4 linked regions of the Drosophila melanogaster genome follow. The protein of the gene in region 4 interacts with the protein of the main gene of each other region in a pairwise test. Each region holds a gene or a part of one and is shown on either strand. Other genes may lie near its edges.

Region 1 (4,149 bases), on a different chromosome or scaffold from region 4:
AAGAGTGCGAAGATGGCGAACTGACAGCGCGCTCGCCATCTCCAAGCCTGGAAGATTTGAAGGCCCAGCAGGAGGAGCTCCTCCAAGAGCTGGATGTTAATGCGTCGCATAACACGACAGCGAATGAATCGAAATCACCAACCGACCTGGATGACACGTCTGAGACGGAGGTTGGTCCATCTGCTGCCGAGTCCGGAAATAATGAGCAGTCCCGATCAGCACCCTCGACTCCCTTTAAGGCGTCTTATGAGGGCACGCCTTTGCTGAAATTCTCCGTTTACGACAGACTGCCTGTGGGCAGCAACTTTAAGGTGGGCGTCAGCGATGTGATCAACTTTGAAAACCTGCCCGACTCCACGGGAAAGTACGAACAAATGAAGGATCTGCTAAAGAACGTACGCGAAAAGATGGTGAAACTGCAGAACGAGAACTGACGAGACCAGGGAGACGGCAATACAAACCACATCAATTCCCGCCCACCATATGTACATTTTAAAGATTTTAAAGCCTCTTGTACAAAGGAAATACACAAGGAAAGCGGTTAGTTTTCCAAAGTCTTTTAAAAAGTGTCCAAATATGTTAGTTGATAAGCCGGTGTGTTTCAGAGTGCGCGGTTTTGTGTTTTGTACAATGTAAGAGGTGTATAATTTGCCTAATCTGTGTTCTGTGTAAACGTGCGAATGGATGCCACCAAGTCGATTGATTTGGTTCTATCCGTGGTTTCTGTCCCAATAGTGGGAGAATTAACAAAACAAGGAATTGCGGTCTGAAAATTGTGTTGTGGATGCTCAGGTTTCGTAGAAGCAGGGGTCCTCGGAGTCGCCTAGTTGATGGCCGGCGGAGGAGGCTGCGGCGGAGAGCCGTCCTGGTTATTGTCGCGTCGGCCGCCAGCTCGCTTGTTGCTGGTGAAGTTGCCCCAGGTACTCGGGTTCACTATGTACATGAACATGGCCACGATCAGGAAGATCATGGCGACGGAGAAGCCGCTGTCATCGCCGCGTCCGGCGATCTGCGCCTGGTGCGGAGTGCGTCCGGTGACTGAGGACGGATGGATTAGTTATGGTTTATACTATAGTCCGCAAGTAGAAGCACTGCATACTTTTTGGCAACTTATCACTAAGCGCGTATGACCCTAGTCTATACTGAATTGTTTTAAAAATGCAAATGCGAAAAATGAATGTTACAATCTTCACTTGAGTAAAAGACTGTTACTGATTTCATGCTGTGCAAAATGTATTATAAATCTAAATGTTTTCATACTTAAAAAAAGACGTGAGACATTGATACTGACCATCGTAACACTCGTTGTCCCCGCAGGCATTCTGGTTTTGTCGTATCTATAAGGAAGTACACTTGATCAAATGAGCTGGGAGCTGCGCGCACAGAAACTTACGAAGTTGATGAGGCGTTGCATCGCATACTCCTGCGACCAGACGCACTCGCAGCCATCGAAGTCGTCGGACATGGTTTCGGATTAGCCTTAGTCTGAGTTGCGCTGCGGAGATCGGAGTAGGTTATACTATAGGGAAAACTGAGTGTGGAATTGCAAATACTACATTTTGCCTGCTGCCACTGACACTGACGTGTCTGTTCGGAGATCGAGAGAACTGTTTCCAAACAAAACGAACCGAACTGAGACTAATTTATTTGCGGCCGCAATCGAGTTTTATACATGCATACTCATATGGTTCCGATAAAGGGGCTTTCAAATCGCGAGTGCGGAGCGAGTCGGTCGTATGTACTGGTACCTATATGTCTGGACTATGTTGTTCTGCCACTTGGGTCCCACAGAGCACAGCTTCAATTTTGGGGCAGCTGGGAGCAAATAACTTACACACTTGACAGCTAACGCCAGTTGAGCAGAGGGATTCAACTGTGCAAAGGGTCCACCCCAATGCCGCCCCACTTAGTGTATACACACACGTAAACCCGATTGCTTGGTGTGTAGGTATTTGACTCAAAAACACGATTATCAGAAGAAACAAGACGTCTAGTTTTAATTGCCAGCGAGAGCGAGGGCCCTTATCACACTTAATTACAAGGCCTTTCCGTTGGAAACTCCCCGATTGAACCAAAACCACCCCGAAAACGGTATCTGGCTTTAGAAAACGTAAACACAACTTTCCCCTTTTGTTTTTGTTGCCACAAAGGGGGCGTAAACAAACTCATCTGCGGGCGTTTGGCAATTAAGTGTCGTTACCTTGCGGGTCTTAACACTCTAATATGCTCCGATTTGGAATGGTAAAAGAATTATGATACAATTTCACTGCCACAACGTAACAATTACACTTTTCTTACCAACTGGAATTGGAATGGGAATAAAAAGTGCACATATGGTAGTGCTGGACAGCGACCAGAACTGGAGGCATATATCGGTGGAGCTGCCAGTGCTTGAAAGTTTCCATTCAGTGGGCGGGAAATTCAAAACTGTTTGATTTGGAATCTACTTCATCCTGCAACTCAAACAGCTAAAATGACTTGAGTTATTTGCTAATATACACTAGGTTAATGGAAGAGTAATATGACATTTGTCTTCTTGAGCTTTGGTTTGATGGGGTGGATGGCAATTAATCCATTATCCTTTTAAATGCAACCTGAAAATATTTTTGCCTTGTCATGTGGGCATTCTACGCAGCCTATAAAAGCATTTTCCCGCTGCCTTATGGTAATTAAAATGATTTCTTTTCTGCTGGTGTCAGTTCTTCTGTGCTTGGTCGGGGCTTCTGACTCGGAATCCATGCAAGTCCAAGTACTCCAGGATCTCAATTTGGCTCTCCAAACGGAGCTCAATGTGTTCATCGATTTTGAGTGCTGCGCCACCTCAGAGATACTCCACAAATTGGACTCGCCGAGAATTTTACTCTCCTCCAACTCGAGGGAAGCTAGAGATCTTAGAATTCGGGGAAACTTCACAGAGAGTACCCTTATCATAGTAAGTGTAATGGATTCAGATCTGAATCCACTGGTTGCCAGTCTTCTGCCACGCTTGTTGGACGAGCTCCATGAGCTGCACATAGTGTTCCTGAGCAATGAGGAACCAGGATTTCCGAAACAGGACCTCTACACCTACTGCTTCAAGGAGGGATTCGTAAATGTAATTCTGATGAGCGGAAAGGGCCTCTACAGCTACCTACCGTATCCTAGCATTCAACCGATCAGCCTATCAAATGTGTCCGAGTATTTCGATCGCGCAAGGATAATTCGAAACTTTCAAGGCTTTCCTGTCCGCATACTTCGAAGCACATTAGCTCCTCGGGACTTTGAGTACTCCAACGAACAGGGTGGCTTGGTGCGAGCAGGATATTTGTTCACAGCGGTCAAGGAGCTGACTTATCGCTATAACGCCACCATCGAGAGTGTACCCATACCCGATCTGCCGGAATATGATGTATACTTGGCCGTTGCTGAAATGCTACATACAAAAAAGATCGACATTGTTTGCTACTTCAAAGATTTCAGCTTGGAAGTGGCCTACACAGCACCACTTTCGATTATCCGCGAGTACTTCATGGCTCCCCACGCCCGTCCGATTTCCAGTTATCTGTACTACTCCAAGCCCTTCGGCTGGACCCTTTGGGCGGTCGTGATTTCGACTGTCTTGTACGGAACCGTAATGCTGCATCTGGCTGCGCGAGGAGCACGAGTCGAGATTGGAAAGTGCTTGCTGTACAGCCTCAGCCACATCCTATACAACTGCCACCAGAAAATCAGAGTTGCTGGCTGGAGGGACGTGGCCATCCATGGCATTCTAACGATCGGAGGCTTTATACTGACCAACGTCTACTTGGCCACGCTCTCCAGCATCCTCACATCCGGGCTGTACGACGAGGAGTACAACACTCTGGAGGATCTGGCCAGGGCTCCCTACCCCAGTCTGCACGACGAGTACTACAGAAGTCAGATGAAGGCGAAAACCTTCCTGCCCGAACGGCTCCGCAGGAACAGCTTGAGCTTGAACGCCACCCTGCTAAAGGCGTACCGGGATGGGCTCAATCAGAGCTACATATACATATTGTACGAGGACCGCCTGGAGCTGATCCTGATGCAGCAGTACCTGCTGAAGACGCCGCGCTTCAACATGATTCGCCAGGCCGTGGGTTTTACCCTCGAATCCTACTGCGTGTCCAACAGTCTGCCGTACTTGGCGAT
Region 2 (3,126 bases), on a different chromosome or scaffold from region 4:
TATGTTAAGTGTATTTATTTCTGGGCACTATTTAATAAATATAAATGAATAATAAATATAAATTTATTTTCATAAAACTCATAAATTTTCGAGAACGATAAAGTAAAAAATTCCAATTGTTTTTTTATCATAAAGGTGTCATATTTTTATTGAGGTATCTGCGTTAAGACGGTGCTATGAATTGGTTTTTACCAGCCTTGTTGCTGTTGCTGCTGCTGATCACCGAATCCACCTCCGAATCCACCTCCAAATCCTCCTTGCTGCTGCTGCTGCTGATCACCGAATCCACCTCCGAATCCACCGCCAAATCCTCCTTGCTGCTGCTGCTGATCACCAAATCCACCTCCAAATCCTCCTTGCTGCTGCTGCTGCTGATCACCGAATCCACCGCCGAATCCAAACTGAGGTAGGGCAGCGGCCGCGGCGAATAGGGCAATGAAGAGGATCTGTAACAATATTAAAATCAACTTAGTTCTTAAAGGTTTTTCTTTGAAGCGTATATGTAAAACGTACCAAAAACTTCATGGTGCTGATACTTCGGTTAGTCTTGCTAATGTGAATAAAATTTTTGGACGCCTCCGATCTTTTATACTCTCCTGCAATCTCATCATGTCGTCACGCGCCGAAGTATTATCAATGTTCTGACAAAATCAAGTACAATTAACCCAACAAAAATACGAAAAAAATTTCCAGACGTCTGGGAAATTAATATTTGAGCACTGTATCAATGCCTATGCTCAACGGGGGGAACCCTTCAACATCAATCTTATCTGGGAAGTCGAGCCTAATCTAATAAGTCCGCAACAGTTGCTAAGAAAAACTAAGGGCGACTTAGAAGAAGACGTTGTTTGAGATTACTTTAGATCATTTATGTTCCGTTTTCACGCATCACAAACGTGTTACGGCAACAAATGTTCTTGTTTGCTTTTCTGGGTTATCATTAGACTTTCGAAATGAGGAGGGATAATTAAGTATGAAATCCTTGTAATCATGGATTAATTTTTTATACATACGTATAATTATGTTATGTCTTTGAATTTTAGCGCTTAACAGGTTAGACCACTATAGTCGCATTCCTCGATTATCAGATACCCATTTCTTAGCTAATAGAAGAACTAAGATATTTACAAGACAAGACTAGATGAAATCAATGAAGAATCTAGAGTGTTGTTGGCACAGGTTCTGAAAGAATTGGAACTATTTAGAGGTCTGAATCTCATTCAGTTCATACAGACAGGCTTACAGACAGATGGCCAAACGAATACGGCTAGATAGACTCCGCTGGTGATGCTGGTGAAGAATATATATATTCTGTATAGGTAAAGGTTCGGCAACGCCTTCTTCGAACTCCCACAGACTTTTTAAAGAATTTGGTATACTCAATTACTCCACAAGTACCGTCTATAAAAACATAGAAATTATGTGTCTTAAAAAATTGTATTTATTAAACTAATAAGACTAGTTTATTTCTTTACATCCTTTTTTTTAAAGAAATATTATTTGTATTTTTTTTCGCTGTGTTTGGTTACATTCAAAAACATTTAAAATTTTCCAAACCAATTGTACTTTTTTTGAGAGCAAATTCAGCCTAAAAGAATACTGTTAAGCTTGTGAATTTAAATGCAGCGCTAAAAAGTCTTCGCCGTTTCTTATACTTTTTTTTTAGTGGCAATTGAAAAGCTTTTAATCGGTATATAGCTAATCAGCTCCAAAATAAGCAAAACAAATTAACAAGAAGAAAGATCAGGCTAAAGGTCCTCAACCCCTGATCAGAAATCAGCTCTGTTAATGCAGTGCTAGAATTTTGCTACCTCATCGCAGACGCTTAATCTAATAATCACAGCTTGGGGTATATAGATTTCGATAGGAAATAATAAGCAAAAAATAAGAAAATTTTGTTTTTATTACTTTGTTTTGGTGCAAATCGCTCCATTCGGCTTCCACCTGCTATAAAAGCCCTGCCATTTACATAGAATTAGTTAGAACGCTTTCGACAGTGTAAACAATCAATCTACCAAAATGAAATTCTTCGTAAGCTCTGCAAATTCCTTTCAAGGATTTTGGTGGGCTCGGAATTAAACATTGTTTTATTTCTCTTCTTTTAGATTGTTTTCTTCGCCTTGATCGCTGTGGTCTTTGCCGCTGGCTATGGACAACAGGGTGGACACGGCCAGGGTGGACGTGGTCAGCAAGGATTCGGACAAGGTGGAAATGGCCAACAAGGATTCGGACAGGGTGGACACGGCCAGCAAGGATTCGGACAGGGTGGACACGGCCAGCAAGGATTCGGCGGACAAGGAGGACATGGCCAGCAAGGATTCGGACACGGTGGACGTTACTAAAATACAGCCTTAATAAAATAATATTTTCCAAATTTAAAAACCCTTAAATTAGTTAAGTTTTTAATGTCGCAACACAAAATGTACAGAAATTACTATTTACAATAGCTAAAAAGCCGATGTATTTTCTTCTTTCACGTAAATTCTTGTAAGTTTAGTAAAGCAACAGTTAGAGTTGTTAAAATTTTACACAAGCAGCGGAGTTTTTCGTTTCCTATTATATTATATTATTATATTATAATATATTATATTATTGTATTTGTTATATAGCCACGAAATTTTTGGCAGTTTGTGGGCGTGTCTACAACAAATAACAAACGTGCGCTGCGTCTATGCCCCTGGAATCTGTATGCCTAAGCTCAACTTTTTAGCTTTTATAGTTCCTCTAATCTCGACGGACGGACAGGCAGGCGGACGAACGTGGACAGATCGAACGAGAACCTTCTCATGTTCAATAAGAGCAGTGTTCTCTGTCATTCAATTAGGTCTGGGAATTCATCGATGCATCAGCAAATTCTCTTGAAGAAACATTGCAAGGCTGCAAATATCAACTTCTAGTGAATACTGATGATAGGGAAATGTAATTACTCTCAACAAAATTTCGAGTACGACCATTTTTACGATCTATTTAGAAATATAAAAAAACATGCATATACGTTTGAGGTGAGGTCCTAAGTAAAAATATGTGTACCTTAAATGGTTATAATAAGTATTTTAAATGATTGTATTTGGTAGGGTATTTAATGATAAGGTGTAAGCTCCTTTAAATTTTCGCTATATAAGTGGA
Region 3 (5,378 bases), on a different chromosome or scaffold from region 4:
CAAAACGATCTCAAGTTTCAAAATTTTCTTTATACGCTTTGCCACGCCCATTTTTCTGGGACTGTGTCTGGTGAGTAGTGGTTATTATTATAAAATTATTTGTATATAGTTAATGACTGATATTATTGGAATTTCTTGCAGTTTCAACTAACCTATTTATTTACGCGTGATCGCATACACGATGTCCTGATTTATGTGAGTCAGGGCTTGATTCTCCTAACGGCCATATCTTATATGGTTTACAAGGTATGTCGGACGAATGGCGATTGGCGCCAGCGATTGCAACAGTGCCTCGCACCACATGACTGGCATCCGGTGGATGCGGACAACCGGCGATTCTACGAGGAAATCATGGGCATCTCGGAGATGCTGGTTATAGATGCCAATGCCAACACCACATAGTGCCTAAATATCGAATACTCCCTAGATCAAAACTCAATACTTACAGCGTCGTCACTTGACAAATGAACTGAACTGAACTCACTTTTATTATACACCCATATGCGGTCACATTCACACATGCAAAAAATACAATAACAAACACGCACACTAGTATATAAATAAGCGGATCCATTGGCAATGGCGATTGTTAGTTGTTGTAATGAAGTTGTACTGATATTTTCCAAAAGCTAGCTATAGTGAACAATATACTGGTGATATTTAGTAGTTTCCTACTAAAATGTTCAACAAGCTTCGGCCAAAAATATTGTTATGAACTAATAAAATTTTACCTTTTAGGCATTGAAAATGTTGAAGTCTTTTTTTGAAGTTGGTAAACGTATAAGGAAAAGAGTTAAATTTATGATATACGGCTGTCAGCACTTTAAACTATTTAATGTCGCACTAATAATAATAATAATTTTGGAATTTTAGTTATAGAATATATGACGTTTAGAGTAGATTGTTAGAAGCATGTTTTTAAATGCATGCAAAATAATAATAGTTTGAAAAATATATGAGGTAATTGTATATTATTACCTAAAACTAATCGCTAATAACAAACAAACATAAGAAAAAACAAATATTAAGACATTATCAATGCGTTATTGAAATCAACAGCCAGGGCGTTATGGGGTTTACTTGCTTTTGCATTGCTGTCTGAGTTTTCCCCCAGATTTGATAACTTTGCGGCTGTCTTGTTTGTCATCCCATTTCCCGAGCACGACCATATCAGTTTCCAGTTCCAAAATCGAAATGAACTTGGCAATGCACGACGATAGGCGCACATAAGAGAGACAGGCACAGATATAAGAGCTCTAATAATCTGAATTTAAAGCAAAATAACAATAAATGCAAATTTATGGTCGAGATCGGAAATACACTTACAAAACGTGTAATAACAAATTTACAATTATTTTGATAACCGAAAGCTTGAAACTATAGATAACTCGCTTAGATATATATTTTCCTAGCATATCTTTATTTTGACAACAGATCTGTTTGAAATTAGAGGGAGGTTTCAAATGAATCTCGGTATAAAGATACCCCACTTCCATAGTAATAACTGTGTGATTAAAGACCAAGTGTGCATCGCCTAAGTTGGGGTATCTCATTCAAGAGGGATGAGCTAAACAGAGGCCTGCTGTCGGAATCGGATTCAGTTTGCCGGCATCGGTTCTACTAATTAGTCCGTCAATTTAGAGTAAAACGCTCGCGGATCGGTTGCAGAAAAAAAATATATATATACTAATATTACCTCTGCGGGAGTGTAAAATTAGATCGTAGTTATATATACTTATTTACAAAATTTGCTTAAATCCATTCTCGCCCACATTTTGGCGGTAATATTGTGGGTAGTTCAACATGGTATATGAAACATCGTATGATACCGGGCATAAACCCTTTTCCCCCGATCTGAATCGAGGAAAATGGGATAAGCCAACGGACTTTATGTTCGCCTGCTTTGGATTAGCCTTGAAGTTGGATGTCTTTGTGGCATCGTTTTGGATGTTCTTCGACATGGGCAGTAAGTAACGCAAGGGCGACTACGTATATTATATTGCTGATAAGGTTCGGATTTAGACTAATCTGTGGAGGGGCGGTGCTCTGCTAATGTTCTCTTACCTTCTCATCTGACATACATACAAAACAATGCCTAATTCTGTCGATATTTATGTATTTAATGTAATAATTGTGTCTCTTTATACAGCACAAGAGATAACAGTTTATACATCAGAATTTAATCTTTATCTTTGAATGCATTTATTTAAATACACTATTTGCTTGGACCAGTTCTTGGAATACTGCCGTACTTTGTATATATGTCCATTTACTTGGTTCCCATCATGGTCATTCACTCCTTCATGGGTCAGTTCTCCAGCAGTGGATTCATCTCCGCCTTTCGCCTGTCGCCTTTCTTTAAAGGTACGTACGTAACCGAGAAGTTTAAACAGATATTAAATATTGATCGAAATATCAATTTCAGGCATGGGATATGTGAGTGGATTTTTAACTATCTCCATGCTAATTTACTATAGCATTTTTGCTGCGGTTCCACTTCTGTTCATAATAAACTCATTTCGACCCACTTTACCTTGGAGCTGTGAGGGCTTGAGTTCTTGGCACAATGGAAGTGCAACGCTATCTAGTGTATGAAATTTGTGTATGACTAAATTGAATTGAAGACTAAGTACATTTTTTATATTTAAGTCTTGTAATAAGACACTGATCTTGGAGGACTTTTCGGAATACAACAGATCTCACCAGCTGCTCCATGTACCATCCGTGCTCTATTTTCAGTAAGTGCTCCTATTTATATAGCAATAAAACATTACCTAATTAATCCAATGCAAATATTTTAATATTATTTTAAGAATTGTTTAAAAATAATTTCTTTTTAACTCTATGTTTACAGAAATCACTATGATAGCATGCAACAGGATGCGGTTCCGGATTGGTATAAGGATTACGAGTTGTCTTGGCATTTTGTTGGCCTATTCGCAATCATTTGGGTTGTGATTGCATTTATTTTTTATAAATTCTCAGAGACGGCCAAGTTTGGAAAACTTATACGCTACATGGTGATTGTTACCCTGGTTCTTCTTTTAGTGTGCTTTGTGCGATTCCTGTTCCTTCCGGGAGCTCTTAACGGGCTCCACAGATATGTGACTCCAAAGGCAAGTGACATGGCCATGGGAGTAGTGTCCACATTCATCATGGTTCTTCATGCATTCGGAGCTGGTTGGGGCAGTGTAATAACTCTGTCCAGTTTCAACGGTTTCAAGACTGACATCATGTCGTATAGTTGGATTATTTCCTTTGGACAGATCTTCATTTATATCATGTTTGGCATGGTTTCCTTTATGCTGGAACACTACTTTAATGGTAATAGCACTTTATAGATTTGCAATATCTTTACTGTATTGAAGTTATCCCTTTCAGAACTATCCGATGTTGATGATAACGGACATGTTTTGAGCCATTGGCTGCTATATTTGTCAAGTGCTTCTGCCTTGTCCACAATGGCTTGGCCAAACCTATGGACTTTTATATACTATTCTATGCTTTTAATTGCTGCTCTAATTGTGATGGTGATGATAATCTACACAATTAATTTTTATTTTTCACGCTACTAAACTTAAATAATTTTATTTTCAGACGACGCAAATCTTCACGGTTTTGCAAAGTTTGTTTGATGAGTTCGAAGTACTTAGAGTGAGAAAACAAGAGGTGACCTTTGGGCTAATTGGAGGTATTGCACTCTGCTCCTTTTACTTTTGCACCAATGTAAGTACTTAAGTTTACACAAAAAAGATATATTATTAAGAAATATTTTAAACAATTTTCCGTTTCTAGCATGGCATTATTTTCTTTTCGGCCTTGGGTCTTGATGCCATTTTCTCACATAGTTTGCTGCACTTACTGCTCCTTTTGGTGGTTTTGTGGATCTATGGTCGCGAACGATTCCAGCGAGATATTGAGTTCATGTTGGGCCAGCCCTTTGCCTCCTGGAAGGTTTTCATACTCCGCTTTATAGCTCCAATAATTTTAGTCATTTGTCTGGTTAGTTAGTTAGTTAGTTGCTTGTTGCTTTGAATAATCATATTCTTTTAACTAACTAGCTCGCGGGAATTGCTCTGTCCATATCGGAGCACTCTTATTCCACAACAGTGGTCTTCGTGATGTCAATTGTCCTCGTGGTTTTGCCCATTCTGGCCATTCCTGGATATGGATTTTACTACCTCTACCAGAGCACGGGCACCTTTTGCGAACGCTTTAAACGCACCTGCCGACCCACCGATTGGTATCCGGTTGAGATGGAGCACCGCCAGCAGTACGAGGAAGCTGTGGACAACACGGAGATGACCCACCAACTCTTCGAGGTTACTGAGGAGGTCAACTAGTTACTGATGCACTTAGAAATGTACTAAATATAAATATATGAGTAATTTTAATGCGTATTTAAAAAAAGGTATGCATATATATACAATCATATTGTGAAAGGTGGAAATGCTACACTTATTGCACTATGCTTACAGCAATGGGTTTTACAGCGTTTATCTCACCTGAATCGATCAGGTTCACACGTGTGACTGTCCAGAGAAACGTAGATATCTCGGAAAAGTTAATAAAGTTGAGCTTAAAAAATCTGTGACGTCCACAATTATAATGCTTACATAGTTTGTCTATCGAGAGAGAGAGAGAGCTTTTAAAAACGTGTAATTATTAATGTAGTTATTGATTAATTATGGTTATAAGCAAAGTACTCTTATTGACGTCATGTTAGTGTATAGAAATGCCTTTTAATTTCAGAATGCCACTTCGGTGACTCACTACTTTTAGGAACGGTATTAGTTTCATTGAGATGTTTGTTTTAACATATCCAAATTAATATACATCATATTACATTAAATTATTAGGGATCTTCTTACTGTCTGTTTGAACTTGTTCACATTACATAGTATTACAAAGTAATACCGACTATTTATTCAAAAAATTATGCTTAACATTATTTCTTAAAAGTGTATTTGATGGCCGATCTAGTGTGAATGGTCCGGGATAGGCTATGAGCATCTCAGTCCAGTGGAATCAGCTACACTGCGGTTTATCAGCGGAATCGGATTTAGTTCGTCCGCATCGCTGCTACTAATTAGTTCGTCAATTTAAAACGCTCGCGAAATGTTTGTTGTTTGCCAAAGCTTTTAATAATAAGTACCTCCATCGGCGTGTGAAATTGGATATATTTCTTTTTATACAAAAGTTTTTCAAATTCCTTTGCTCACACAATTTACCGGGCTATACTAACGTCACAAAATGATATATGAAACATCGTATGATAGTGGGCACAAACCCTTTTCCCCCGACTTGAAGAGAGGAAAGTGGGATAAGCCCACCGACTATATATTTGCCTGCTTTGGATTAGCCCTTAAACTGGATAT
Region 4 (3,340 bases):
GCGAGTTCCACAGCGGCGCTCCTCTCAGACCCTTGAAGTAGTCGTGCAGGCTGTGGGCTAGCGTAGTTTTGCCACCACAGGTGACTCCCGAGATACCAATGACCAGCCACTGCGGCATCTTGTCCACGACTGACTATCGCTCTTCCTTGTTTTTCAGTGGAATCGTACGTTCGCGTTCGCACCGAGCAAGATAACCCCCCGGATAACCCCCTTAATCACGTTTCACTCTCAGGCTCCAGATGTGGTAAAAGGAGAACGCGGCGATGCCGCCGAGGAAGATCACCCCGAACACGGTGGGCACAATGAAAGCGTACTTCAGCGGTGGAAAGAACAGCCGAATGGGATTGCCTGTAAAAGTTTGTAAAGTATACTCATGTTCACAAGTGTTTCATTTGATAACAGGCCAGGAAAGAAAATACGTAAGTATATTGTTTTTATGATTACTCTTAATAGCAACAAATTAAAATTGTCACGGAACGGCAAAACTACGATCATGAAATATTTACGTATAAAGTGAAGAGCCAATATCCAGGCGGAAAAACTACCGAAAATAATTAGCTAAGTACACACCCAGATTTGGAACCACATAATACAGTGGTACCACTGGTTAAGCACGTTTTCGTTTTTATCGCTGATTGTACATGCCTAGACTCTACAATAGCTAACTAGTTTGACTGTGCACATATCGGGCGAATACTGTACTCCTATCATCACTAGTCGTCGGTGACCTTGACCCGAGCTTAGAGCATCGTACAGCCGCATTCCAGGTAACCCGTGTTAGGGTGGTCACCTCTGTAAAACACACGGGTTCATCCTCGTACACTGCCAACTATATATAATTGAACATCGTGACCAATTTACGCCGCGGCGTCACTTTAATTACTATACAAAAGCGCGAGATTATTCAATAAAACTTATGTATTAGCGGGTGAATAACGGAAGCCGTGGAAAACTCACCTTCATCGATGAGCATAAACGGGAGGACGGCCACCCAAAAGAAGTAATAGAAGAACACGGCGATTGCAGATATCAAAATGATTTTCCCGAGTTGCGCATTCGAAGCCATAAATAGCTATTCTCGGAAATTCTGGGGTTTCTCTGGCGAGAGAACACGCGACCGGCGATTTGTTTGTAAAACTGCTCATGGGGCGTTCTCCCCGGACGGACTGCTTCACTGTCCACTGATCGTTTACCCGCCGCACGAATCCCTAATGTTTTTTCGTAGCTGCCGATTTACTTTCGTGGCGTAATTGTAAACAAAACAAACAAGTGCGTCAAAAAATTTCCGAATTCAAGGTAGTGGTGGTTCAACCACTCGAACAAGTATCGATAGCTCGAGTAACTGTTTTGCGCAACACCAGCGGATGTTCTTATCGATGTAGGCGAGTCACTTCTGCTTGGGGATAATTTTCAGAATAAGATTTGTATATTATTAGCTTGCTGTAAAACCCCTTGTTTAGATAATGAACAGTTTATTAATATTTCAAATTAAACTATCATCATCGATATTTCAAGTGAAACATGCATCACTATGACAGTGTGACCAGCACTTACTTTCAATACTTTTCAGTGGATAAAACAATATCGATATGTCGATAGTAACTGATACTATCGAACGCTGATAACCCAGCACTAATAGAATTGTAAACAAACAATTTTTAAATTTAAGAATGGTAAAAAATGGGCAATCGAAACGGCAGCCATGGGTGAAGAACCTGTACTCCAACCGGGAATATCCGGACAACTACACGGATGCCAGCTTTCTGAAGGATCTGCGCACGAATCTACATTGTAGAATATACACGTTCGGCGAAGCAATTGCCGGTATTACAGTGCTTAATAATCAGATCTCCTGCATCACCGGCTTCCTAATACTCTACCAACTTATGCTCAGCGACAGCGTGTCGCCCACCACGATCCTGGTACCCAGTTGCGGGATCACAGGCATTGGATACCTGTGCTACCGAGGAAGGAGTCTCAGCTGGGCCCTGCTGGGCGAGGATTCCAAAACCCTGGTCACAGTGGTCCTCTTCGGCTACTTATTCTCACCGATGCTGCACACCCTAACGCAGGCCATCAGCACGGACACCATATACACAATGACCTTCTTTGTCCTTCTGGGCAACCTGATATTTGGACACTATGGATTGGATGTAGCCATGGTCTCTAAGGTAGGCAATATTTACGGCTATTGGTGTTGATTGTATATTGATCTTGACTCCACCTCAGAATCCTATATAATACAAATACTTCTTGTTCCATGTTAAGCGCAGGCCGTCTCGTTGAATGCCGCCATATTTGGAGCAATTTGCTTAGCCTCCCGCCTGCCGACTTCGTATCACGCCTTCGTGCTCCTTGTCGAGGCTGCCGTCTTTTTCGTCCTTTATCCCATAATGACGGAAGCGAATTGGCATGCTGGATTCATGTTGCCTATATTTGCAATATGCTGTATGGCGCTGTACTGTATATCGCGCCCGGTGCTCTATCTCTACGCCTCCACCACCATTTTCATCAACTTTGTCTGCCCGTTCATATTCGTGTGGCAGCAGCAGTACAAGTTCAACATTCACGGGCCCTGGGACGAGGCCATCGTGGAGGAGAACACCGAGGAGAACCTGGATGGGAACTTATAGCGCCAGCTGCGCTTCTCAGAACAGTTGCCGCCACGACTGGGTAGCGGCGACGTCGAGGAGCACTTCACTGATCGCTAAACCATTGCACGCTTATTTTTATAACTTTGTAAACTCATTCCAAGCCATTGATGTTAATCTTTTGTATCATGTTATATCTGTTAGTTTGTAAGTAGCGTTTTAATAAATTATACTTTTTGTGTTTAAAACCATAGCACTTTTAAATTTGTGTAATTTTTAGGGGACTTTCTTTTGGTCCTATGAATGGCTTTTTAAATAAATTGTTATCAACTTAAGGCAAAGGTTTTTCAATTGAAAGATAATGGAGTTAAATTAACAGGGTGAGTTTTTTGGCTTGGTTGTGTTTTACTCAGACTAAAAATAAATTTAGTTAAAGATTATTTATCGTCAGCGACTAAAACCCGTTTCGTAGATAACAATTAAACATTCGCATGAGCATACATTGAATATATTTGACCCTATCTAACGCAAATAAATTGAAGCAATTGCTTTAATAATAGACTATGGAATATGGATGAGTGACATCTGTATTAAGTGCACGCCCTTGGGTTTCCCAGAAGTTCCTAGTCTAACCAGAGATTTAATTATTTTAGTATTCTGCGTTTTACCTATCTATGTAATGCATGCTGTCCTGCAAGCTACTTCCACAGTTTCAGTAAGCATTCTTGAGAGATAAATAATCCAGATTA

The links.
Region 1: the proteins of PIG-C (region 4) and CG13585 interact in a two-hybrid assay, tested with the Drosophila melanogaster proteins (one large-scale study listed by BioGRID).
Region 2: the proteins of PIG-C (region 4) and CG34166 interact in a two-hybrid assay, tested with the Drosophila melanogaster proteins (one large-scale study listed by BioGRID).
Region 3: the proteins of PIG-C (region 4) and CG13795 interact in a two-hybrid assay, tested with the Drosophila melanogaster proteins (one large-scale study listed by BioGRID).

The regions. Positions count from the first base shown.
Region 1 is NT_033778.4:24,529,786-24,533,934, reverse strand, and holds CG13585 (uncharacterized protein), read right to left. Parts: upstream 2,342-4,149; 5' UTR 2,299-2,341; intron 2,291-2,298; exon of another isoform or gene 2,201-2,290; intron 1,824-2,200; exon of another isoform or gene 1,557-1,823; intron 1,496-1,556; 5' UTR 1,466-1,495; coding exon 1,394-1,465; intron 1,338-1,393; coding exon 1,292-1,337; intron 1,039-1,291; coding exon 824-1,038; 3' UTR 544-823; downstream 1-543. Other genes in the region: CG4622 (uncharacterized protein), read left to right, coding at 1-434.
Region 2 is NT_033779.5:14,741,277-14,744,402, forward strand, and holds CG34166 (uncharacterized protein), read left to right. Parts: upstream 1-1,916; 5' UTR 1,917-2,019; coding exon 2,020-2,031; intron 2,032-2,105; coding exon 2,106-2,342; 3' UTR 2,343-2,603; downstream 2,604-3,126. Other genes in the region: CG42586 (uncharacterized protein), read right to left, coding at 189-446, 514-525.
Region 3 is NT_033779.5:7,722,521-7,727,898, reverse strand, and holds CG13795 (uncharacterized protein), read left to right. Parts: upstream 1-1,600; 5' UTR 1,601-1,803; coding exon 1,804-1,966; intron 1,967-2,232; coding exon 2,233-2,364; intron 2,365-2,425; coding exon 2,426-2,589; intron 2,590-2,649; coding exon 2,650-2,738; intron 2,739-2,854; coding exon 2,855-3,324; intron 3,325-3,381; coding exon 3,382-3,530; intron 3,531-3,597; coding exon 3,598-3,726; intron 3,727-3,795; coding exon 3,796-4,002; intron 4,003-4,061; coding exon 4,062-4,343; 3' UTR 4,344-4,854; downstream 4,855-5,378. Other genes in the region: CG13796 (uncharacterized protein), read left to right, coding at 1-70, 142-402; CG13794 (uncharacterized protein), read left to right, coding at 5,254-5,378.
Region 4 is NT_037436.4:3,317,523-3,320,862, reverse strand, and holds PIG-C (phosphatidylinositol glycan anchor biosynthesis class C), read left to right. Parts: upstream 1-1,630; 5' UTR 1,631-1,670; coding exon 1,671-2,171; intron 2,172-2,273; coding exon 2,274-2,633; coding exon of another isoform or gene 2,634-2,711; 3' UTR 2,712-2,835; downstream 2,836-3,340. Other genes in the region: CG12016 (uncharacterized protein), read right to left, coding at 1-118; Dpm2 (Dolichyl-phosphate mannosyltransferase subunit 2), read right to left, coding at 212-348, 958-1,066.